Struthio camelus: one gene and its partners. The protein of the gene in region 3 interacts with the protein of the main gene of each other region in a pairwise test. Links are inferred from orthologs where the notes say so. Each region holds a gene or a part of one and is shown on either strand. Other genes may lie near its edges. The genes, in order: APPL1, RCBTB2 and FARS2.

What was found.
Region 1: the proteins of FARS2 (region 3) and APPL1 interact in binary tests that used the Homo sapiens proteins (3 or more experiments, as listed by UniProt). The two-hybrid records come from large-scale screens. The link is inferred for Struthio camelus from reciprocal best matches to the Homo sapiens genes FARS2 and APPL1.
Region 2: the proteins of FARS2 (region 3) and RCBTB2 interact in binary tests that used the Homo sapiens proteins (3 or more experiments, as listed by UniProt). The two-hybrid records come from large-scale screens. The link is inferred for Struthio camelus from reciprocal best matches to the Homo sapiens genes FARS2 and RCBTB2.

What each region holds. Positions count from the first base shown.
Region 1 is NC_090955.1:15,492,734-15,501,042, forward strand, and holds the start of APPL1 (DCC-interacting protein 13-alpha), read right to left. Parts: upstream 3,031-8,309; 5' UTR 2,877-3,030; coding exon 2,823-2,876; intron 2,668-2,822; exon of another isoform or gene 2,367-2,667; intron 1-2,366. UniProt on the Homo sapiens protein: Multifunctional adapter protein that binds to various membrane receptors, nuclear factors and signaling proteins to regulate many processes, such as cell proliferation, immune response, endosomal trafficking and cell metabolism.
Region 2 is NC_090942.1:192,305,333-192,312,824, reverse strand, and holds the start of RCBTB2 (RCC1 and BTB domain-containing protein 2), read left to right. Parts: upstream 1-4,086; 5' UTR 4,087-4,259; intron 4,260-4,544; exon of another isoform or gene 4,545-5,538; 5' UTR 5,539-5,690; intron 5,691-5,795; exon of another isoform or gene 5,796-6,493; intron 6,494-6,917; exon of another isoform or gene 6,918-7,041; intron 7,042-7,167; 5' UTR 7,168-7,319; intron 7,320-7,492.
Region 3 is NC_090943.1:103,668,418-103,676,730, forward strand, and holds the start of FARS2 (phenylalanine--tRNA ligase, mitochondrial), read right to left. Parts: upstream 3,453-8,313; 5' UTR 3,412-3,452; coding exon of another isoform or gene 3,328-3,411; coding exon 3,195-3,327; exon of another isoform or gene 3,035-3,194; intron 2,834-3,034; exon of another isoform or gene 2,699-2,833; intron 2,187-2,698; coding exon 2,104-2,186; intron 1-2,103. Other genes in the region: LYRM4 (LYR motif-containing protein 4), read left to right, coding at 3,326-3,411. UniProt on the Homo sapiens protein: Is responsible for the charging of tRNA(Phe) with phenylalanine in mitochondrial translation.

The DNA of each region.
Region 1 (8,309 bases), on a different chromosome or scaffold from region 3:
TGAACATTAATACTGGCAACTTGCAATTTGAAAGGAATATCATGCTAGGTTTCTGGATGATCTTTACTTTTTAAAACAGAACACTGCAGAAGAAAGTACTTTCTATGTTTTATCGTAAAATAATCAGCTATTGATTCTCAGACTTCAGACTGACCCTATGTCATATTGATGGAAAGAAAAATAATCTGAAATTGGAAACAAGTAATGACAGACCTTTGCTTAGCTTAAAAGTCAGAGGAATTGTTTACTCTTGTTTCTAGCAAAAACTTGAGAAATTGTGTATATTATTTGAGACTCTTTCATGTCATATATGAGAGCAGGTACACTAGAAGCTACCGGAGATAAGCTACACAAAGAAATGATCTAGTGAGAAGCCAGTGAATCGTTAAGCATTCGATACCATCATACATATTGTACTGCAAGTGACGTGAGGCAGAGCCTGTGCTGTCGTGTCTCTTAGCTCTTTCATTGTGTAGTGGTTTGCAAATGGAATCAAGTCTGAGCAGAAACTCTCTCTAAATACTTCTATATATATACATATATATACACACACATACAGAGACAGAGAACATGTGTGTAATATATGCACTAAGTTAATTGATATTTGAATCAAAGTCCTTCGCTTAGCAAAAACAATGTAAACTTGGCATTTGGTTTATGTCCAAAGCCAGAGCGGTTAGATTTTTATCTTGCATCAAGACAAAGTAAATGGCATTGCCATTTTAGAAAAACACTTCTTTCCTTCAAATGCAGAACAAGTTTGATTTGATATTTATTTAAAATAAAATCACAGTCTCAAACATGTCTAAAAGTGCACAATTCCAGTCCACAATTCACCACAAAACAATTGTCTAGGTTGATGATCTCCTTCAATATTACAGCAAAACATTATGAACACTTCATCATAATCAGAGCATCATGAAAACTCCTGAAGGGAACAGGGTTTCCTCTTTCCTCAAGGATCACTTGTTGCCATTTATGGCATCAGACACTATCCACTACCAGAAGCAGAAGAGTAAAACCTGACAGTGATTAAGTAAAACAAAACTAAAGTGTCTTTAACCATGCTGATTTCAAAGTAACAGAAATGAACTGATGTAATGAAACAAAGCAACTAAGCCGCCATGGTTTTCTAATAGGTGATCAGTCAGAATTCACCTGAAATATTAGGTTGGCTGAAAGATGTAAAATTTTGTTCTTAAAACAGGAGAAGATATAAGCAAATCTTGCACATCAACAAGTAAGCACTGGGCTGAGTTAGGCTTTGCTAATCAGTTTTTATCACAGATAACCTCAAATGAAAAGATTCTAGACAGGCAATAAAAGAATTTACAATCATGTTCCAATAAGTAACCTTCTCTCATATGCTTCCCTAACGATGTCCCAGTCTAAAGGGCTTGAAGAAAACGCTTCATCCTACTTGTCATGTGTAAGACAAATTCAGTATTCAAAACGTTTCCTATAAGTAAAAACAGTTCCGATTTCCATACACTGAGAACAGATCTTCAATGGGTAATTCTCTTAAATTAGTATTACTATAGTGCATTCAGATTTTTTTCCTTATTTCAGTCAGATGGGCCAGAGACTATACTACAGGTTAGCTCTCATCTGAAACTCAGTATGACATCTGGCATTAGAGTTACACGGGGCACACTCTGTTCGAATGCAATGATGCATTCGCGACATGATCTTCTGTTGTCTTTTCTAAGCAGTCCCTCCACTTGATGTGGATTTGCTAAAATGGTTGTCATTCTAGGGGTAAATATTTCATATTAAGCAAATGGCAGTTTCTCTTCTGCCATTCTGTAGATTCCTCTTCTACAGCTGAGGAATCAAAAGTATCAATGAACATGCTATTACAATATAAGAAATCTTGCTCATCTACATAGACAACGCAGCAAAACAATGATGCTAATTCTAACCGTTGACATATGAGAAACTATATTATAAACTAACTTTCATTCATGCCTAGGAAGAGTGCGCAAAGTACTTGTTGCTGCCAACAACAGAAACCAGTACAACAGAATAAAGCATTTCCTGCTTAATAATAGTAAAAAATAGTAACGTAATATATGGCATCACTGACAAAGTTCAAGCAGCAGAAATGGAAGTGAAGAAAACAGCAATTAAAGGTCTCTCAGCACCATGCATTTCCCATCTTCTCACAAGCATCACGATATCATTCAGCAACTGCATTTCATATTTATCTAGTAAACCTTTTGTCTTTTCAGTAAACTATACACACATAACAAAACTCCTCTTGAGAAGTAAAGGATCCAGTAAAGAAGGTTTTCTCAACACGAGGTTTCCAAAATAAATCATGAATGTAAATCTGGCGCTGGGGGAAGGGAGGGACAAGCTACCACAGTGACGCCCGAGGCAAAAGCACTTGCATATGCAGCACAGTATCTCTAGAAAATCGTCATTAAGCTCGCTACTTTGTAAGCAGCTAATGAACCCGCAGGACACCTGAGGCGATGCGGTGATGCAAGCGGGAAGAAGGCGCCGCAGCGACACCTCGCCGGGGCACTGCCGGAGTTGACAGCCCAGGAGCCGTGACTCCCGGCCCCAGGCCGACCAGCCCACGGCCGAAGCCCTCCCGCACCAGAGGCGAGGAGAACAGGAAGGCAACCGGCCCCGCAAGCAGCGTCGCTGCGCCGCTCCCAGGTCGGGCTTCTCTCTCCCAACGGCCGCCAACGTCTCCCCGAGCCCCTGAGGGAGCGGGGGAAGGGGAGGGGGAAGGGGGTGGCGCAGGACCCAGTGCCCCCGCGCGAGGCCCGGCCTAACCTCCGCCCAGCCAGCTGCGTCGCGGCCCCTCTCACCTGGGGGCTGTCTTCCAGCGTCTCCTCGATGGGGAGCTTGTCGATGCCGGGCATGGCGGCCGCCGGGGTGGACTCTGCGCCGCTGCAGCTCCCGCACCCCACAGCGCACCCAGCTGACTGGGCCCCTCCCCCCTCCCTCCACTCACAACACGGGCGCCGCCGCCTCGCGCCGGATGTCCCGCCTGCTCTTCTCCGCCCGCCCCCCCTTCCGGTTCTGTTCTTCCTATTGGTTCCTTCGCCTCAGCCTGTCCAACTCCTTATTGGTTCGCGGCTGCGTCAGTTTGTCTGTAGGTGTTGGGGGGGCACGTGGGCGGTGTGAGGCACGTCGGGCCGCGCCGCGCCCGTGCGTGGGCGCGAGGGTCTGTTCCCTCATCCCGCCCTTTCGCTGCGGGGCGGGGGAGGGGCGCGCGCGGGCCGTTAAACGGTCGCGCCGCGGCTCTGGGCGTCAGTGCTCGCCGCGCCCCTGCCGTAAGCTGCTCCCCTCCCCCTCCCCCCCCCCCTCGTTAGCATCCCCTCCTTCCCCCGTCAGTATAAGTGGGCGAGGGGGAAGAGCTGTTCTCGCTCCTCGGGAGGGCGCCCTGTCAGCCGGTGCGTGTGGGCTGCCCCGAGTCCGGGGAGGTGAGTCAGAAGCACTGACGCAGGGCTGTTTCCACGCTGAGGCGTCGAGCTCTGCGGGCCTGACGGAGATGGTTGTCAGGCAAAGTTGCTGGGAAAACGCTGTTTTTTTTTTTTTTTTTCTTCTGAGTTTGGAGTTACAGGCGTTGTGCGTTAATTCAGTATGTTCTTCTAGCCTCACTGTAACTAGTGGGATTTTGTCTTTTTTTACTCTGTTATTGTCTTACCCCCTACCCCACCCCCGAAAAAAAAGAGATCATTTTGGGGGCAGAAGTGCAGTGGGAATAATGCTATTGTGGCCCTGTTGTGGTAGAAGCACTCTCCTGAGCACCAGGAACACCCCTTTTGAGAAGTCCCCTTTTATCTGTCTCTTGTCTCCTTCCATCATCATTCAGGACTTCTAGCAGGAAGGGATTTCTTTCTATCCATAAATACTTTGTATTTTTTGTTACAAAGTCACGGTTTCAGCTGAGGACTTGCTGTTCCTGAATGGGTCTTGAATGGAAAAAATACTCTTTATAGAGCAGAGTGTGGTCTTTCCCCTTCAGGAGGGTGTAATCAGTCCTAATGGGCTTTCTGGTTTCTTTGGCTGGCTGAACTTGCTGCTACAGATTGGTGGCCAATTCTAAGTGGCTGAGGCTGCTCTGAGGGCTTATTAGAATTGAACCAGGTCATTGTGCACTGTTTTAAAAATAGCATGTTCTTAAATTGCCCTTTCTACAGCTCTGAGACCAGGACATTTTGATCCTAGTTACTGTATTTTAAATTATTCTTGCAGGTTAAGCAGTTTATATTTTTAATACACAACCAGATTAGAAAGTAGGCTAAATTAGCCGGTGGAGCAAATGATTAACTATTGTACAGTCTTATTATGAAGACCTTATTTTATGTTTGTATAAGATTACATTTTGCTTTTAAAAGCAAATGAAGAAAAAAGCTGGTATTAAATTGTAAACAAATACAGCTTTTTGAGAATTTCTTTTTTTTTAGGGAGCGGTGAGGAATTCTGTGTTACAGCTCAGTTCAGTCAGTTCATTTACCAGCTCAGCTAGTGACTCATGTGGCCTGAGGCAAGTCACACTGTTTCACTGTCAATACTCTTTCCCTGTCACATGAGAGCAATAATAGAGTTATCTTACAAGGTGTTTTAAAGATTAAGTCTTTCATCTTCTTGTTTGGTCTTCTGCATTAAAATATTACTTGCTGAGCTATGATTGGATCCATAACTATTGTATGGCACACTAGTATTTTCTCATGAGATATATATATGCATAACTTTCTGGTTTTGAGATCAGTTAACTTGTGACCAATTTTTACAGCTGTCTTCTGTAAGAAATGCTCTCTATTTTACATAATATATAAGATTCATTTCCTTAGCAGGAAATGCTAAGATGGTAGCAAGTAACTTTAAAAAGAGTTGTTCTTTGTTACCTTTATATTTTTACAGCTTTAAGTGACAGAAGAAAAATGTGTTTGTTTAGCTGCTGTGAGTTGAGAAGAACAGCACTTAAATCAGAGAACTAAATGTTTCATTAAAAAAAACACTGACAACATGTCTTTAGTATGTAGAAATGTGTCTTGGTATCTCAGCTGGCACGTAGCATAAAAACGTGTCTTGTTTCTGTTGAAATTAGTGGTCCATTTGCCACTGGCTTTAATAGCAAGTAGGGATCTTTTTCATAATTCTGTAATATAATGCAGCTTCTTTTAATTATTAGTCAGGGTTTTTAAGTAAATCTGTTACATAAAACATTCTGTAATGTCTTACTGGTCTTGTTGTGCTACATATACTTTTTTACAAATGTTAGAAGGCATCAGAAGGTGTTATTTGGGATGCAAGTTTGACAGCAGCAGACAAGTTTGGATGATAATGAATTCCTCTAAACGCACTAATCAGTCTTTTTCAATGAGATAGATATATATATATATTTGTTAGTCTCTGTGATTCTTTTTTTCTTCTTTGTATCAATGACTGCTAGGAAACGGTAAGAGTGCGGGTAACTGACGCTTGACCCTGTATAAACAGGGAGAAGAGCAGTCAACGGCTCTTTAGAGGGCCTCAGATGGGTCCGCTAACAGAGTGAACGTTTTGCCTCTGCTGGAGGGTGAAAGTCGCTGTCTGGATAATCAGGTAAGTCTTATCTGCATCTACATGCGCTTTCTCAAACTTTTGCTGGTGCCACCCTTGGACTTACCTTGAATTTATTTGTGTTCATTTAATCTTCCTGGGTCAAAATAGCTTTTAACTCAGCCAAGAAATAGCTAACTGCTTTTATTTATTTATGAGAAACATTAGCAGTTTTGAGGCATTCTTACCTTTTAAAAAAACAAACGAAAAAACCTCTAAATTTTGAAGCTGGCTTTTACTATACCATTCATTGACTATAATGTTATATAACTATAACATTTGACTATAACATTCACATTCAAAATGTATCAGGAGGGGAGCTCTGTGTGGAATGTCTGTGGCAGTGAGATACTGCTGCACTTGGGTGAAGGAGCTGTGGGAAAGGTGAGATGAAAGGCAATTTTTTTTTTCGTGTGATAAGTGATCAAGAAAGATGTATATACACCATTTAGCCTATTTCTAAAAAGCCAAAGATACTGGACAGGCTATTGTGAAAGGTGACTTGGCAGTGGAGTAGCAATAGGTGACAATGCTAATAGGTAGCAACAGTGACCAGTGGGGTTTTAGATGGAAGCCACCAAGAACTCTTCATGTGGTCACTTCAGCTGACTATTCTATTTATAAATAGAGTCCTTAGAGGCTTCACTTCTCTAAAGTACAAGAGCTCCAGCCACTCAACAGATGGACTCTGCTGTCCCTCAGCAAAAAACTGTGAGTGGGGCCAAACCAGAAAGGAAGATTAGAGTTAGCTACCTCACCAATCATGTGGTGCTGTAAAATGAGCAGATCTGTACATCCAAGGAGCAGTGATTTTTTTCGACTGTTGATTACTCAGGATTTTCAACCTAATGTTTGTTGTATTGCTGTGGTATTTATTTACTCAAAGCTATTTGTTTAAAATTCTTTAGATAAATTCATGACTTGCAAGTGAAATCTTGGCCCATTAGAAATGAGCAATAAAAGGGGATGTCATTTTTGAATGGAAGCTCAAGCTGTATTTCTACTTTTAGTAGAAATTCCTAGAAACTGAATCTACTTCTTTACTGTCAGTTCTTCTTAGATCTAAAACACTGTAACCTTTCTGCCCCATGAAAATACATTTTTGTTTTCACTTTTTTATAGAAAGGTTTGACTATTTTTGCATTAGTGACAAATATTTTATATATAACTAAGCAAGCTTCTCTCCAAAGAAGTATCGCAAACTTTGGAAGTTTGGTCTTCAGCCAGACTTCCTGGTAGATATATTTCTACATGTATATAGTTTTGGAATGAAGTAGACTTGTTATCTTTAGAATAATTTCTCTTAACAGTTTGTGAAGTCTCCACAAGATATGTGGAGCTGCATGAACATTATAAAAGTCTCTTAGAAATATGATGTTTCAATTTCACTGAATTCCGCAGAAATTAGAAAGTGTGATGTGCACGTCCACTTTGTGAACTTATTAATTGGTGCTTCCAGTTCCTATAATAAGTTGCTGCCAAGAACTCAGTTTAAAAACAGAATGTTGATATGTTACTGCATTGTTGTTCCTGGGTGTGAATCAATTCAGCACTGAGCAAATTAATATCATATGATTATTTTAGTAGTAGCACAGTTTCTTATTCAACTGTCTGAATATTCATTGTTGAACAAACTTAATGGCTGGGCAAGTATAAACACCAGATGGCACTATTTGATTAGTTTCCAACATGTGTCTAACAAACTTAGATATCTGGGTTTTGGCCTATTTTGTGAAGATTCTTTCTGAGAGCTATCACAATCTCTTTTCCCTTGGGGGGGGGGGGGGGAAGGGGGAAGCCTGCAAGTTGCTGAGTGTTCCCAAGTGGGAGTTAAAATCAGAATACCTTACTGAAGGTTTTCTGCATCTTCCACAAGCTCAGAAAGTCCAAAAATAGATTGTAAATATTTGATCTAGTTAATGGTTAGCTTTGGGGAGATTAAGTGTCGCTTATAAATATTTCTCTTAACACTGCATATGCCTGTCTTAATAGTTCTTGGTAGCTCGTTGAAGAGATCACTTACGAAGGTAGTTACCACTCTGGACCTTGGTCTGTGTGGTAGTCCCAGTCTCAACCATGTGGCTGAGATTAATTTCTTTCATAATCATTGAAATGGAAGAAATATTTTCTGAAAGGCTTGTGTATCAGTGCTTTTTCTTCTTCCAGCTTTTAAAGAAACTTTAGTTGTCTGTATTTGGAAACCAGCTGTTTGTATTAAAATCACTAAAAGTTCATTGTGTTTTTAAAGTCCACACTTTGGATTCGAGAGACTGTCTCTCCATCAGTGATCATGCTTATATGAAACCTTGCCAAAATAGAAATCTGTAAGCAGCTCTGCATAGATGATGCATCATTTTCTTGGTGGGTTTGGGGGGCAGAGTTGGCTTTTTTTTTTTTTTTTTGGTCTGTTAGTCCATGTAGAGCTATACAGGCAGAAAAATGATCTACTAACAGCTGAAGATTTTGCTTAGAATGATTGCTATTACACAATCACTGGTATATAAGAGTTTTTGCGTTATCTCTTATTACCTGTTATGCAATCTGTATATGCAAAATAACTTTGCAGTCAAGAAAAGAAATCCTGTTGCTTAACTAAGGTCATAGGTTGCCTTATTGGGAACAGCTGCAGTGCAACATAAAGGACTGTAAGGCCCTTACTTAACACTGCTCTTCACAGGAAGAGATCGATAGGACTCCAGTGACCTTTGGTTCACCGCATATTCCATCATAAAACTGATGGAACT
Region 2 (7,492 bases), on a different chromosome or scaffold from region 3:
GTAGATGAAAGTCATTTCCTCCAAAGTCATGATCATAACTGAAATGTCATTACCCAAAAGCATAACGCAGGTAATGGGAACCCTGTTATTGAGCTCAGAAGCTGATCTTAGTTTGACATGAAAGGACTCCTAGCTTTCTCACTTCCCTCCTACTGATAGATTCTCTAAGGGGAAACACAACAAAAGGCTTAGTGGGCATCTTTATTTTGCAACTGAGTTTAGCAAACACATCTCTATCTTTGGCAACCCAGCACACAGTAGTTGAGTTTAAATACAGAAATTGTACCTACTGAGTGACAATCTACAAAACCTCATGTTTCTCTAGTAAGTCCACAAATAAGCATATGACAGTCCAAAACTTTTTTGCCATCTAGGAAATATGGAAAGCCTTTCCAACGCTTCAAAAACTTCTGGAAGATCTGAGTGCAAGTTTAGTCTGCTTTTAACTATATTTGACTGAGCTGGATGGGTAACTGCAGGCAGCATTCGAGACGGTATGCTTTGAAGTACTCCAGAGTTGTAGCTGATTTTGAGCATCAGATTATCATGAGTTCAAGATGACGGGGGTGGTGGGGGGGAGCGAGATGGTGGTTCTGGATACTACTGTGGGAGGGCAGTTTGGAAGCGAAAAGAGAAAATATGGAAAGAAAATAGGAGCTACAATTCAGATGCTGCACTCATTCTATTAAATGAAAGTAATTTTGAAAGTAATATCATCACCTCAAATACCCCTAATCTTCACTGAGTCTTTAAAAAAGCCTGTTCCTCTCTCTATTTCCTCCTTTCAGCTTCCTCTGGCCCTCCACAATAATTCCTCCATCCTTCTCCTTGTGGTATCATGATTACACCAAGATGTAGCAGGTTGAGTACTATAAGCCAAGTGCTTGGATGCAAATTCTCTTTCGGCCTGAAGATGTATCTGAACTAAGCCCTTCCTTTTCTCCCCCAAGCTATATAGCCCCACAGAAGAACATAGCTATTACCTGTGCTGCTTCTGCATTTTGTAGTCATGGAAAAGCATAATTTCCAAAAGCACCTGCGATGTATCTGTAACCTCCCATCTAGGCCAGGCTAGCCTACAGCTAGCCTAGCCCCTATGTGACCCTTGGGTGGATGGCTTGAATAGCACACATTCGGTGTGCTATTTAGGTGGACCCTGCCTGGAGAACTTGCATCCCAATATGCAACTGCTGTATTGAACTGGCACTTAAATATCAAAAAAAAATTTTTTTTGAATAGAAGTAACTGAAATCTTGTGGCTTTGGAGTCCTTTGGTGCTTGAACTGTAAGTTAGTTCACTGACTAGCTACTCTATTTACAGTCCCTGCTACATTCTCATTTACTTTCTAATTACATTTTTTTAAGTGTACAAAATAATCCTGCTGAAGTAAAGTAAAATAAACATCTGATTCATCAGCTAATCAGATAATAAAATTAGGTCAAATTCTATCACGTATTATTCCTAAGACCAACTGGAAGAAAATGACATGCACAAATTCAAATGGTAAATAAAATAAGAAAGGATCCAAAGCTTAAATTGCAGACCTCAACAATATATTGGAAAAAAAGGAAAATACTAATAAGAGTGTTGTACGTGAGATGAGAGAGGTAGATATCCCTTTTCACTGAGTGCTGCTTAGTTCTAAATCTGGCTTCAGACATTATGTTTAGGAAAAAAAGAAAAACAAATTGGAGGCAGCCCAAATGAAAGAAAGAAAATGTGACAGCTGCAGAAACTCTGTCATATAAGAAAAACTTGAAACGGCTGGATCACTTTTTGATTTGAAGGCATCAATAAATGGAGACCACCTTCTACTTGCACTGTCAGGGATTTGCGTTCAATTTCTGAATTGAATTTCTGTGGCTTTAATTTCTCCCCAGTGCTGCTTGTTACAGCTCTCTCCGTTCAATTAAAATGCCACTCAGTATCTAATATTTTCTTCTTGTAAGGAGCCTACAAACTGCAACCATCTTTGAACTGGGTTTTTAATAAACTTAACAGATCATCTTTTTGCAGTTTATTCCATTTTCAGCTTCTCTATCAATACATACAATAGCATTACACGTAGTGTCCCACTAGATGTCTCATAACACTAATTACTAGAGGCAAATTATCTCTTAATTACTATTCATCACTCTTCTCTTTATACATTCAACAGTGGCTTTGGTGTTTTTCACTTTTCCATGCCTGGCATCACATTTTCAGTTATGTTGACTGACCTCTATGCTTCAGTAAGATTTTCCAGAAAGCAGTTTCTGTGCTTGTAGATCTACATTTATTGCTTCTAGATTTAAGCACTTCACTGTATTAAAGTGCACTTTGCTTGAATAGATGAAGTACACCACCTGTTTCACAGATTCTAAGCGTGACCTTCAGCCTAACACATAGCACTTCCTTGCATTAAATTGAGCGTTACTTTTTAGAAAAATATCCAATACTCTTTTAAAATGTGTACTGAAGAATCAGTAGCAGCTCACAGGCCAAGATGAAACTTGTTCTAAGGGACAATTACTCTTACTAAAAATATTTGTCTTATTGCTAGCCTGAAAATGAATAGCTTCAACTTCCACTGGGAATTGTTACACCACTGTCTGCAGAATTGAAATTTTCAGGCATATTGTTATGTTTACACACATATGTCTGAGATCCACCAATTTTTTCCCCCGTGGACTGGGTTTATTCAGTCAAGAAAACAGAAAACTGAGAAGGGAACACATTAGCAGAAAACAAATTTATTTGTGTTATACAATGATCATTTTACTTTACACAAAGAGAAAACCAAACTATAAGGCACAATATATTATCCTTATGAGTCAAGTGCCCCAAAATTTACTGTTCTCCTTCCAACGCTTTATACAAATCATTATGGGTATCTTTCAAACGAAGAAAACTTTCTTAGCTAAAAAGACTTTCTCTCAATTATTGTGAAAGAACCAACTGAATGAGCCAATAAATATACGTTTTGCACATTATAATGCATTTGGGGTGCATGCATGGGATACATTTCTTCACTTCCGACTGACAAGCTAAGAAGAGATAGTGACTCCACGGAGCATTACATAGTGCAAGCATTAGGGGAGCACTTTAGGAAGCAGCACCGGTAGTCAGTGCAGAGGTACAGGCACTTCATGCATTATATATTTGAAGAATGGGATGCAAGATAGGCTAAAAAAGCATGTGAAGTATATCATATGAGACTGTCAGACAATATGGCAAGTATACAGAATGTATTGTCTCTATTCCTTTCGTAGCTATAAAGAAAAGGTCCTACTACTTTATGTGCTTTTACAAACCTCATTTTTGGACATAATCTTGTATCTAGGTACATACAATTGTTAAAATAACGCAGTATCCTCATAAGACTGATTCCTACATGAAGACCTGCCCCAGGCGATAAAGGAAGATTGCTTTCAATAGAAAGCTACTTTCTTAGGCACAGGGCAAGCTTTCTTCTGAATAAGGTTCCCACAGCGATAACCTAACAATATAATTCAAGACAACAGCAAAAATCTCCGAATATGTATCACAGCAAGATGACAGGGCATTATCAGGCCCAAGGTAAGAGACATAACCTGACCAAACAGCAAGGTTCCTCAGCTGAATATTAGGAAAATGCTTTTCAAGGGTATCCTGTTTGGGAGGACTTAATTTTAAAGATTAAAGCATATGAGAAAAATACCAATGTCCTCTTCACTTCACTTTCAAAAAAAGCAGATTGCACATCGAAACAGCTCAGCAACATTGGACATTCCCATGGCAATCGTCTTTGAGCACGGGGCTCTCACTACGCAGTTTTGCCACCTGCCTTCAGGCCCAGCCATCAGCTTAGGGCTTGGTGGGAAGTGCTATTAGGCTGCCTCCCTCAGCACTATGCTCCCTATGAGCATGTGTGTCTTCCTGAGGTGGCCGTATCGTCAAAGGAGACGTGCCTCGGTGCAGGGGACACAGGTGCCGTCTCAGCCTCCCCCTGCTTGAACTCGGAGAGAACTGCTCTGCAGCTAGGGCCAAGCCCCGCGGGGCCAGCCGCCTCCAGAGCCCCGTCAGCCGGTGGCCCCCCGTTTTCCACGCTCTTTACGGCAGTAGGTGGATCCCTGGGAGGCTCTAACCCCCCTCCCTCCCTCCCTCTCCCTCTCTCTCTCCCGCCTCCCTCCCTCCCTCCCTTCGCGGTTGAGGAGGCGCCTGAGCGCGGCGGCATCTTCCCTCGCCTCATTGGCGGGAGGAGGAGCCGCCGCCGCCGCCGCCGCCGCCTGCGGGGAAGGTAAGCTGCGAAGGAAGGGGCTCGCCGCCGCAGTCGCCACCTTTTCCCTCCCTCTCCTCCAGGGCGGCGGCGGCGAGAGCCCCGCGCCCCTCTCCGCTGAGGAGAGCGGCGGCAACGCCGCGGCAGAGCCGCGCTCGGAGCCGTCACGCGCGGCTCTAACGGACGTTCCCGCCCCGCGCCGGCCCCACCGAGCCGGGCGGAGGGAGGGAAGGGGGGAGGGGCGCCCTGGGGCGCGCGCGCGCTTCCCGCCTCTGCGCCAGCGGCCGTTGGCCGTGCGCGTGCGCGGGGGGGCGGGGCGGGGCCGTGGCGTCGGCCGGCATTTTGCGTGCGGGGGAGCTGCGGAGCTGTGTGGGGGTTTGGTGTGCTCTTTTCCTCTTGCCCCGGTTTGGGGGCGTGGGGGCTGTCCCTCTCCCCCCGCAGCCTGCCTGTTAGCCGTCCCGCCTCGCGGCTGCCGGTGGGCAGCGCTGGGGGCGGGAGCCGTTGCCCGTTTTGCCTGCGCCAGGCGGGTTTTGCGTTTGCCTCCCCCTGGGGTCCGTTGGCAGGGCAGGGTGCGCGGTGTGTAGGCGCAGTTTCTGCTGCAGGGCGGGTTTGTAACCCGCGGCGCGATTTTAGTGGAGCAAGGGTTAAATTGGAGTAGCGCCGGCGAGCTCTGTCCTCCGGTGCGTAGAGGGAGTATGAAGCGTGCGGTGGGTCAGGCAGGCTTAGCTTGATGCCCAGCTACGGTTTAATGCAGGGAAAGCGACTAGCTGGGAAATTTAAGATTTAAGGATAGATAAAGGATTATCAGTGCTTGAGGGTTTGGGTGGTCGCACAGAGGGAAGTTCTAGTATTGATGGGACAGAAGGCAGGGCACAATGAGCAAAGGGACCTTTGTTCCTACCTTTGTTCCTAGGAGTGGAGTGAGGTGTGTGGGCAGTTACCTTTGTGCATCACTGTAATCCACCTGGGCAACGAACGAGATGGCGGGGAGCGTGCAAGCGGACACAGCTAAGGGAAGCACTGAGAAATCATGGCCCTGCTGAATAGCAGGGAGGAGAGCTAATGTTGTCCAGGCGTGAGAAATAAATATGATGGAGTAGCATTGGATGCTAATGATGCGATGAACTGTAAAGTAGTAGGGAGAAGTTGTGTGGGTAAAAAAAGAATTAGCTTAGCATTGCTTTGAGGAAGTAAAATTCTAAGAGCTTTTAATGCTATCTGCGCTAGACTACCAGAGTTGGATTTGGGTAAAGTTATCACTTACCACAAATTATGTCATGACTGGATTTTCTTTTTTTAGATACAGACAATGGCATCATTTGGGAAGGACATATAACAGTTATATTTACATACAACAACTCTGAGCTTACCAAACAGACGCTGAATTAGTAGACTTTAGACTTGCTTTCAATGAGGAGCGTGAGGAAATTCTGAGAAGAGCTGGTTTAATAAGTGGGTTACATTTTTAATTTGATTAAATAAATAGAAATTAAGTAGAAGGCTAAACAAAAATAAGTTTGAAATTCTTGGTTTTGGAGGGGCAACCTTTGAAAAACTGGGGAGATGAATGAGTGATGTCAGTTGTCCTGGAGTGCCAAGGGCTGTAGAAATGTAATGCAACTCAGTAATGCAACATTTTTACAGCTGAGACTTCTTACCTGTAGGTAGAAGCCCATATCATGGACCAAGGCTCCATTATGCAGAAAAACTGTACAAACTGTACAAAGTGATCAGGGAATGTAGAAAATAAGGCCGGATGTGATTTAGTAACGCTTATAGGCTTTTTTAGGTCTGTTATTAAAATTTTAGAAGATACACCTTATAAATTGTAGCTTTTAGCCAAAGTTAGGCTAGAAAGACCTTCCTTAAACATCTAAGGGTAGGATTATGGGTTAGAGCTGTAGAAACTGTGAATGTTTGTTAACAGCAAGAGTTGACTGAAGTAAAAGATCCATCAGTTAAGATATTATGTAAGGCACAGAATTTGGCTGAATCATATAGCTACAGACTAATAACAATTTAGCTTAGATCTGCTTAGAGGTGGCATAACAAAACTAGTACGTTTGCTTACTGGTTTTATGTTAATGTAATTTAATATTTATGATTACATGTTAAAAGAGCTAGGCTCTTGCCTAGCACGATGTTTTTATGGCATTGAACTGATGTCCATTTTGAGAACGGTTCCTGCTTGCAGGTGCAGTGCAGCTTAACATCTGAAGCTTACACACAATTTATCCTGAACAACCTGATAACCTGTTAGTGTTCCTTAAATTCTTAAGGCTTAAACGTTTCCATATTAAGATTCTATAAATGTGTAAAAATATAATATTCATCAACTTATTTCATATACTTACTCTATTATTATATATTACAGTATTAATTTGCTATGTTGTGTGGTTAATATTTTTAAATAAAGTTCTTCTAAAACCAGATCTTTGGAATACTTTTGTTTCCCTTAAGCTGGTTCCTTGAGCTCTCCTGTTTTATAGCTTATGTCTGAAGGTCAAAATGAAGAAAAAAGAATCAATATAAATTTCAGTTATACCAAATTAATTGCATTATATGGTATATTAAATTTTATCCAATGTTTAAAATAGGAAAGAGCTATTAAACTAAAAATGGAGTAAATGCCACAGTTGTTAATATTTTATTATGTTTACATGTATGTATGGATTACAGGAACAAAACACAAAGTATGTTTGGAATTTGGCTAGCAGTTCAGCGAAGAGAGAGCTTTTCAAGATGATTCTCTGAAAATCTGAGATCAGCCACACTGAAAGCAATGCTTTCCCTCAACAATAAGGTATTAGATTTAGGTGTAGGAATGACACTATTCCCAAAAAACTGTTTAACAAAATGTTTCCTTATGTTGATACACTGAAAGATCTGGAGAAAGTGCTCACAGTATTTTTTTTTTCTTTTACTGCAGAAGGAAACCACTAATTATGTGAAAATGACCCCAACATCCTACCATACTGCTTTTCAGCATTGCGAGTAGTTGCATTCAGCTTCCATCATCTGAAACACTTCATTGCTTTCAAAAGGTGTTTTTGCATCTGTAGGAAGAAATGTAAATATTTTGTAAGTGAAAATCTTTTTGATTGACGCTTTGTTTTGTGAAGTTTAATTCTTTTTATGCTGCTGACCTTGACATTTCAGTAAGTCTATTTAGGGATGCGTGTTTTTAATATAAACTTTATTACTACTTTCTAATCTTTGTACTTTTGCCTTTCATTAGTCTGTTATGCAGTTAC
Region 3 (8,313 bases):
GACTAAATTCAGGTGTGGATTCCCCTTAGGGAATAAAGGAACAGATTAAGAAAGACTTATTTTTTGCTTCCCTTAACACAGAGGCTCCAGTGTCACAGGACACAGTGGTGGTCATTTGGGTTGCGTCTGTCCTTGAAATTCTCTGCTGGCTTGCAATGATGCACCTGAACAGAATGAGAGCAGACACAATGTGTACCCTGTCCTATTAAAAATCACAGATTTCGGCAACAGCAAAACTGGTGCCCATTTATGGCAGAACAGTAGGTCTTTTGAGAACATAATCCCTAGCTTCCAAGAGAAAAACCAAAATAGTACACATAAAAATAATTATTCATTCCAGACAACATCACCAATCCAACTGTACTCAAAAGGCCAGTTTATCCTTGAAAACTGTTCTTCCTTCAGTCAACTAAAGATTAAGATGGGAGGGAGAGTCAAGAGGAGGCTTTTTGCTTCTTCGGTGTGTTTACTCTGCGTGTGTTAGTACTCTGCATGTGCTTTTTGCTTATTTTAAGCAGATGAGGTTTCCATGCAACATGAGACTTTTTTTTTTTTTAACAGAGAAAAACATGGTTATTAAAAAAACAACACACACAAACAAAAATTTTCAGGGAAATTCAGGAAGGAACAGGATTAGCACCTGAGGCTATTTTAAAATCATTCATAATAACTGTTCCAGTATTAAACTAATAGTGTTTACAAGATTTTCTTAACTTGCTCTGCTTTCTCTCTCATTATTCTCTCACCTTCTAGAGCTGAAGATTGCAGAATCAAAACTCCTGCTCTCAAAATAATAAAGAGGGCTGTTCTAAAACTACGTAGAATAATTTTTGCAGTGATCCATAAAATGACTTTACGTATCTTTACCAAACTCTCAAAGCTAGATTTTGTTCAGTACATGAGAGATTCGTATTTTTAAACTGTCCGAAGCACATTATCAAAACAAAATACAGGATTGCCACTGCTGCTTTTAGGGAAAATGATAAACCTGCAGACCCAAAGCGAGAGTTCTGCTTTAACACCTACTAAGCACCCCAGGGCTGCAAAGATGGAGAACGGCAAGGATGGGCAGTGGGGAATCAGGCAGACTTCACTGTTTGCACAGTGACCTCTGATAACAATACAAGTTGGCCTACAAGGAACATTTGGTCCCATAGCCCACTAAAGAGCATGCCTGCTTTTAATTTTCTCCATTTGGGTTTCCTGCATGCAAAAACCCAGCCCAGAATACGCTCTTTTGTGACTTATAAGGGAAGGCACAAAAATGTGATGCTTCTCATCGTCTCTGGGCTGCTTGCATTTTTGTAGAAGAATGTAACATTTCCTATAACATTTCCAGTCTAGGTTTTAATAAGAACGTCCAAGAAATTTGCTACGTGTGTAAAAAATCTCAGTTTTCAGAAGCCTAGAAGGGTTGCTAAAATACAATGACCGTATAAACATGCACGCAAAGATGAGTCCAAGATATCTCCATGCTTATCTGTATTATTTATAGCCAGAAATACAGCACTATTTTAGAAACATACTGTAAATTGCATCAGATGAACAAGCGGCACAAACAATACTCAAGCATGCATGTACAATAGAGTATCAGTTCAGTTAGAGGCAAGGACTGAAACGCTTTTGCCAGAGACAGAAGTAGACCATATATAAACACATACTACATATAAAACGTATTGTGGATAAAGTAGACACTTTGTAATGAATATAAAGAAATCCTATTATTGATAGTTTTAACAATCAGTACTAGCTACAGCAACAAACCTGTAAGTTACAAAGTCAGATTTAATTTGCAGTGGCAAAACTTTCAGCAGAGGAGGATGTTAAGTATGTTCTGTTTCCAGCAATAAAAGGATCAGGATGTCTCAAGTGTAAACAATAATAAAAGAGGCGCTTAAGTGGAATAAGGGACCCAGCCTCACAGCAGAGGAGAATTTATCCAATAAACTGGTAAAACTTTTTAATTGCTCAGGTAACCAGTCGTTCTGCAGACTGTACAATATACAGGCATTGTGCATACAGATTCCTGCCTGGGGACTGCCTTCTTCAAGGCCAGTTTTAACACTCGTGGGTCGTGGCTACTTCACTCAAAATTCAACACACCAATTCACTTTCTGAAAACTTCGACAGATGCGGAGCCTTAGGGGAGGGCACTGATAAACGTGGTGTGCCCACTTCTCGTGCAGCTGTGGAAAAAGCCAGAAAAATGGTAAATGGAGATTTTTTGTTGAAAATAAAACAGCTGAGGCAGGAAATCCTTATTAACCTCTCTCAGAGGTTTTTGCTGCTTCATTTAAATGGTTTCTGAACTACAGGCATACAGGTCAAGCAGAAAGATTTAGATAACAGTCTTGAACATAACCGGGGATCTCAAAGCAGGAACGATTTGGGCATCACCTGCGGTGTTGCAGCTTCCGGTGCTCCTTTCGTGACTGAAAGTTTGCCACGTGCGTTTGTACAGAAACTTTTGAAGAAATGCAGTGAAATGCAAGCACTGACCAAATATTAAGTGTCTCCCGGTCAGTCCCTGACCCTGCATCAACTGACATTTACACTGACCTTTACGTTGCCCAGTCACACAGGCTCCCCTCTCCCATTACTTGTTTCCCCCCCCCCCCCCTTTGATAATACCCACTTCAGCCGAGAACCCCTTTAAAAAGGCGACAGACATACGGACAACCCAACACGGCACAGGCACCTCGCGGCCCACGGGAAAACCCGGAATATTCACGCCGAAGCGCCTGCAGCTTTGGCACCTCGGGGCAGGTCCGGGCGGCACCAACGCCAGCAGCCGCCGTCCGTCTCCCTTGCCCGCCGCTGGAGCCCCCGGGGGCGGCGCACCACCAGCCCGCGCCCCAGCCAGGCGGAGGGAAGCCCCGCGTTAGGCCCTGCCTCCCGCCCTGGCCCAGGCCCCGGCCCGGCGGCACCGCGGCGCCCCAGAGCCGCAGCGCACAGCCGCTCCCCCCCCCCCCCCCAACCCCGGCAGCGCTGCGCGGCCGCGCCCGCCCGCCAGGCCTCGGCTCTCCGCTCGCACCTGCCCGCAGCGGACGCTACCGGCCTCCACATCCAGCCGGCCGAGCCCGGGCAACGGCTCCGCCGGCGGCGCGCGCGGAGGCCGCGGGGCTTCTCTCGGCGCCCCCAAGGTGACCGCGCCGCCCGGCCGGGCCCACCCGCGCTGCCCCGCCGCCACTCACCGCCCTGCGCTGCCGCCGCCGCCGCCGCCAGGCGCGCAGAGAGGCGGGCGCGGGTGGCGGCTCCGGAGGCCGGCGCGGCCGCGGGCGGGGAAAAGGGGCCTCGGCGGCAGGACCCGCCTTGTGCCGGCAACATGGCAGCGTCCAGCCGAGCCCAGGTGCTGCGGCTCTACCGGGCCCTGCTGCGGGAGAGCCAGCGCTTCAGCGGCTACAACTACAGGTGCGCTGCCGGCCCGGCCCGGCCCGGTCCGGTCCGGCCCCTCCGCGGGGCGGCCGCGGCCCCGCCGCCGCTCTTCCCCCTGCGCGTGAGGGTTTGGGGAGGGCGGAGGGGGGCGGCAATGCCGGTATTACTCGGGGGCAGAAGCTGGGCTTTGCCGAGGTGTCTGTTGTTTTGGGGGGGGGCGGGGGGTTCTTAGTTTTTGTTTCCTTTTTTTTTTTTTTTTTGGAGGGGAGGGGGGGACGGAGCTGAGCCGTGACCTCGGGGCCTTGTGGCGGAGGGGGAGGGCGCGCAGGCCCGAGGCCGCCCCCGCCGCTGCCCCGGCCCGGCCCGGCCCGGGGGAGGCTCGGTGCCGCCGCGCCCCTGCCGGGGAGCCGCCGGCCTCGCCGAGGTGCCTGGCCCCGGGGCAAAAGCACCGTATTATGGGCCTAAAAGGTCCCGCTTTTACGCGGGGAGGGGGGAGGGCACAGGGCAGGGATTGTACCCAGGCTGAAAAGGCTCCTATTTCCCTTGTATCCTGCCCTTTTTTTGGCTGTTGAGGGCCTGGGCCAGGTGGCAGCCTCGGGGTTTCTTTGCCCAGGCGAGGCAGCGCGGCTGCACCGGCGGGGGCCAGGCTCCCTGCGTAACCCCAGCAAGGCGCATGGTGGGCAGGGTTTGACCCTCCAGCCGTGCTGGGCACAGTGCTGCGCGGCCGCCTGTCTCCTGAGAGTTGTTGGTGAAAGATATGCCCCGGTTTTCGGTAAAGGGTATGCCTACGTTGATACAGACCCGTGTGCAATGGGCACGGGCCACTCCGCGCTTTGATATCTGCTGCGTTCACTTGGGGCTGCTCCCCAGCAGCACTAGCAAGATTATTTTGTCTGCTGGTAGTTGGCCCACAGACAGAGAGACGTGAGCCAGCTCCATGGGGAGCCATCTCAAGGATGGCAAGAAGTGTTGGGCTGGGCACAGCAGCCTTTGAACACATGAAGCCACACTGAGCGCTGCGCCGCTCGGGGTATACGTATTCCCCAAACAGCGCCTATGAGGGAGCAAGTGCCTCGTGAGGAAAGGCCAAATTTGAGCCAGAGCTAATAGGCCTTCATCAGCTGAGACTAACTCCACACTGACTCCACACTAACTTCACTCCCCGCTCCTTCTCTGGTTCGTGTGCATCAAGGCTTCCCCCTGCACTTTGTTGTCCTGAGTATCCTGGTTGCCCTTACTCTGGATAGCAGAGTATGGTTATATGTAACAGGGGTGGTTTGAGGCCTGTGAGACATGGCTTGGAGGGCAGTTGAGTGTAGCTCCCGTCTGGGCCGTGTCATGTTTCCAGCGATGTGTTTGCACTAGGGGAAATTGCTGGGGAAGCTGAGCCCACAGCCGTGGGAGGAAACAAGCCAGCAGCAGTTGGTGGCAGCAGCCTCACAGGACTCCCCTCTGCCCCAGCTCCTTTTTGATGGAGTGTAATGGCTTGGGAAACTTTTGGCATCTCTCCTCTGTAAACCATTCCCAGAGCCTGGCCCCTCAGCCAGCTCCCCAAAATAAATAAAAGGTATGTATCCAGGGCCTTCAGCAGTGTGGAAATTTTGGCGTGCAGCTCAAAGATCGGGTTATCCATCACACAACAATGATACAAGGTGCATTGCTGAGTTCTCTGCTTAACGTGATGTAAAACTTTCCATTCTTTTTCTTTTAGTACTGTAATACTAACAACTCTAAAAGCATAGAAATCATAAGATGTGCATTGACCTTGGATTTCTGCAATTTTTCAATGCCATATCATGGAGCAAACTTCCCCTTTCCTTAAGGAATGGTCTCAGTTTTTGATGGGCCTGTCCTTAGATGCTGTAAAATCAGCAACTGTATAAATTCTTGTTTTGTATACAAATCTGTAAACACTAAAAGCAATAGCAGCTTCTAGCAAGAAGCAGTCAGCAGCTCTTACATGCAGAGATCAGTTGGGACCACAGCAACAAGTCCACCTTGGTTTTTATGCCACACCCATAACAAAAATGGACACTCCTCTTAGATGCTGGGATAAGCAGTTCTGCTCTGCCTTCAGGGCTGCTGTAATGTGATCATCGAATATAACTTTGTAAAGAGTCGACTTTGTGGCAAATTGCAGAGTATTAAAGATTAAACTTACTGATTCATGATTTCACTGGCTGAATTTCAGAATATTTCATTAGTGCAAACAATGCATGTTTGTAAGTGTATGTCTGCAGTGTGACCTACTGCTTGTTGTCTCCCTGTTTGATTGTGGTGATTTTGCTCTTAAAGAGGCACATATAGATTGTGATTTAGAATCAAGTATTTTTGTTTTGTAACTTTTCTAGTATATTCTATATCTGTTTTTTTAGTACCAGATTTCCTTCTACCAGCCCAACAGAGCTTTTGCTGCCCTAAATGTGAAGAATAATGTTAATATCTTAAAGTTACTGAGTCCAGCTCCAACAGTCTTTAGAATAATAACACACAGGATCATCTCTAGAGTCCTGCAGTAAACGTTATGGAGTGCTCTGAAGCCCAGATGTGTAGGCCAGAGTTTAACAGCAGGAGAGAATTTAGTAGACAGTAATTTCCTGTCTGCCTTTCTGCCATACTACGCATGCCCTTCTGCCCTGTTACACACACATGTGGGCTGAAGATGGAAGTCTGATTTGTACTGTAGGAAAATCAATACGTAAAGGATGATGATGTTAAGTTTTAAGCTTAAAAAAGTGGTTCCAAGTATATTGGGGAGTTTTTTCTGCTTGATTAACAAAAAGAAGATCCTGTTACAGTTCGTAATGTGAGATTGTAATTACAGTCTCAACTAAATTAATTGGTTTAGTGCAGTAATTTTCAAATAACAAATGTTATTTGTGAAATAATAGATTTATTTTGTGTCTCTCTTTTTGGTACAGAAAACAATTGAATTTATAAAAATTTGCAATTCAAGATTTAAAACATCTGGTTGCAAACAAGAATAGTGTGAACTCTGCAGTTTTATTTGTTTAACGTGACTGAAGCTCAGTGGTTAAAACTCTCTGGAATACAGCGGAAGAAGTTTTTCTCTAGAAGGGTGGTGCAGGGCTGAAGAAGTTCATCCACCTTTGAAGGTTATCAAGGCATGGAGTTAGACAGTGCCATGGCTGACCTGACCTGGTTGAGGATAGACATACTTCAAATGGGAAGTTTGATTAGATAAGCTCCAGAGGTTCTGCCTTACCAGTATTACTATGGAGTCTCTGGTCCGCAACCATCCCTGGTCTATAAGCGTCAACGCTAAGTAGTAAGTTCTGGGGAACATCATATTATGCTCTTCCTGCTGGTCTCCTTTTCAATTTTTTAGTTTCTTGTAGTTATGAGCAACGTAAGGAGCTTCAAGTCCCTCTGTTGGAACTTCTGCAATTTTTTGTGTGTGTGTGTGTGTGTGTGTGTTCAAGGTTTTATGTGATTTATTTATTTCAGTTACTCATTATGTTTTGTGTTAACTGGCAGAAGTTGTTATTTTTATATTCAAAATGTAAGCATGGTATAATATAAATAGCAATATATTTATGTATTATATATAATCTAGATATATATTATGTGTGTGATACATGATGTATGATATATATAGCATAAAGCATTTTTCTTTATAGATTTTTTTTCTTATTGGTATAAATCATATTTTAGTGGAAATTGGGGTTTTGATTAGAATGGCCAATGTTATTTGACTAGTTAATAAAACTATGCAAAACACAGGAGGGCAGGGAGAGATAGATATAGGAGAGACAGGGAATGCAATTTGTCAGAACATGTTTTGCGTTGGAAACTAGTTAATTAAATGCAGGCAACTTCACCTAAATCATGTCCTTTAAGATTTTACAATCAGTAAATCTGCTTTTGCAGATAGCTGCCAACCTAAGAACAAAAACAAGCAAAATAAGTTCTACTGTTTTTTCAGCGTCAGTTGCTTTCCCAGCTTTGAATGAAGTAGTTGTTGATCTGGGCAAGCTGATCGTCTTATTTTGGTTTCGACTTTCTCTGAAAGTACTTAGCACTTCAACAAACTTTAATTCCACCAAGTGATTCTTGGTTGGTTGCTCCTTACTTTTGCAGTGTTTTAATATTCTGTAAAATCTCTGACAGCACGTCTGATGCTTAAATGTTATTTAATTTAAAAATAGGCTATTGTAAGCCAAGGCTTTAACATAAGCTTGAGGTTTTAACATATAGCTTCAGGTGTAGTTTTTGAATGAATTGTTTTAAAAAGGAAACTAATTTTTTTCATCAAATTTTTACAATGGATAAAATCAACATGTAAAAATCTTCATTTTTAAAAATCTCAGCAGTCGCTTGTGATAAATGTGTTTGGGTCCGGTTTTTTCTTTTTTTTCTTTCTTTCTTTGAAAAAAACCAGACACCCTCATGGACTCAGGCTTTTACGCTCTTGGATTGCAAAGGCTTCTGGCCATGCCAAATGAACATGTGGAAAGGAGAGCAACTACAAGGAAGGTGCCTGATTGCTATAGCAGTAGGAAAAATGGTGTCCAGGAGTAGGTAGTTGCTGCCATAGAGGTACAGGTCATCTGCTTCCACATATTCTCTATCTCAAGGGTTTTCCTTGGACTGGAGAGGGAACAAACTGTGGGAAAGAGACACACATGCATTTAATTCAGGGTATGCAGTAAAGCTGTTGGATCTTTGTACAAGTACAGGATAAACTGAGCAGTATTTACATCATAATCTCAGTTTTTTGACAACATGATTCGTATCAAATAAAATTCAGAAAATAAGCTTTTTCAAATGGGATTCTTTCTCTTCTGCCAAGATACACTACTTGTTTACTTTAACTGAAAATCTTACTTTTGCTCTTTGGCACTGGCATATGGAGTCTGGTCACTGGTTCTTTGTCACTTTTATCACCCAGGTAAATTAACAATTACATAAGGGTTT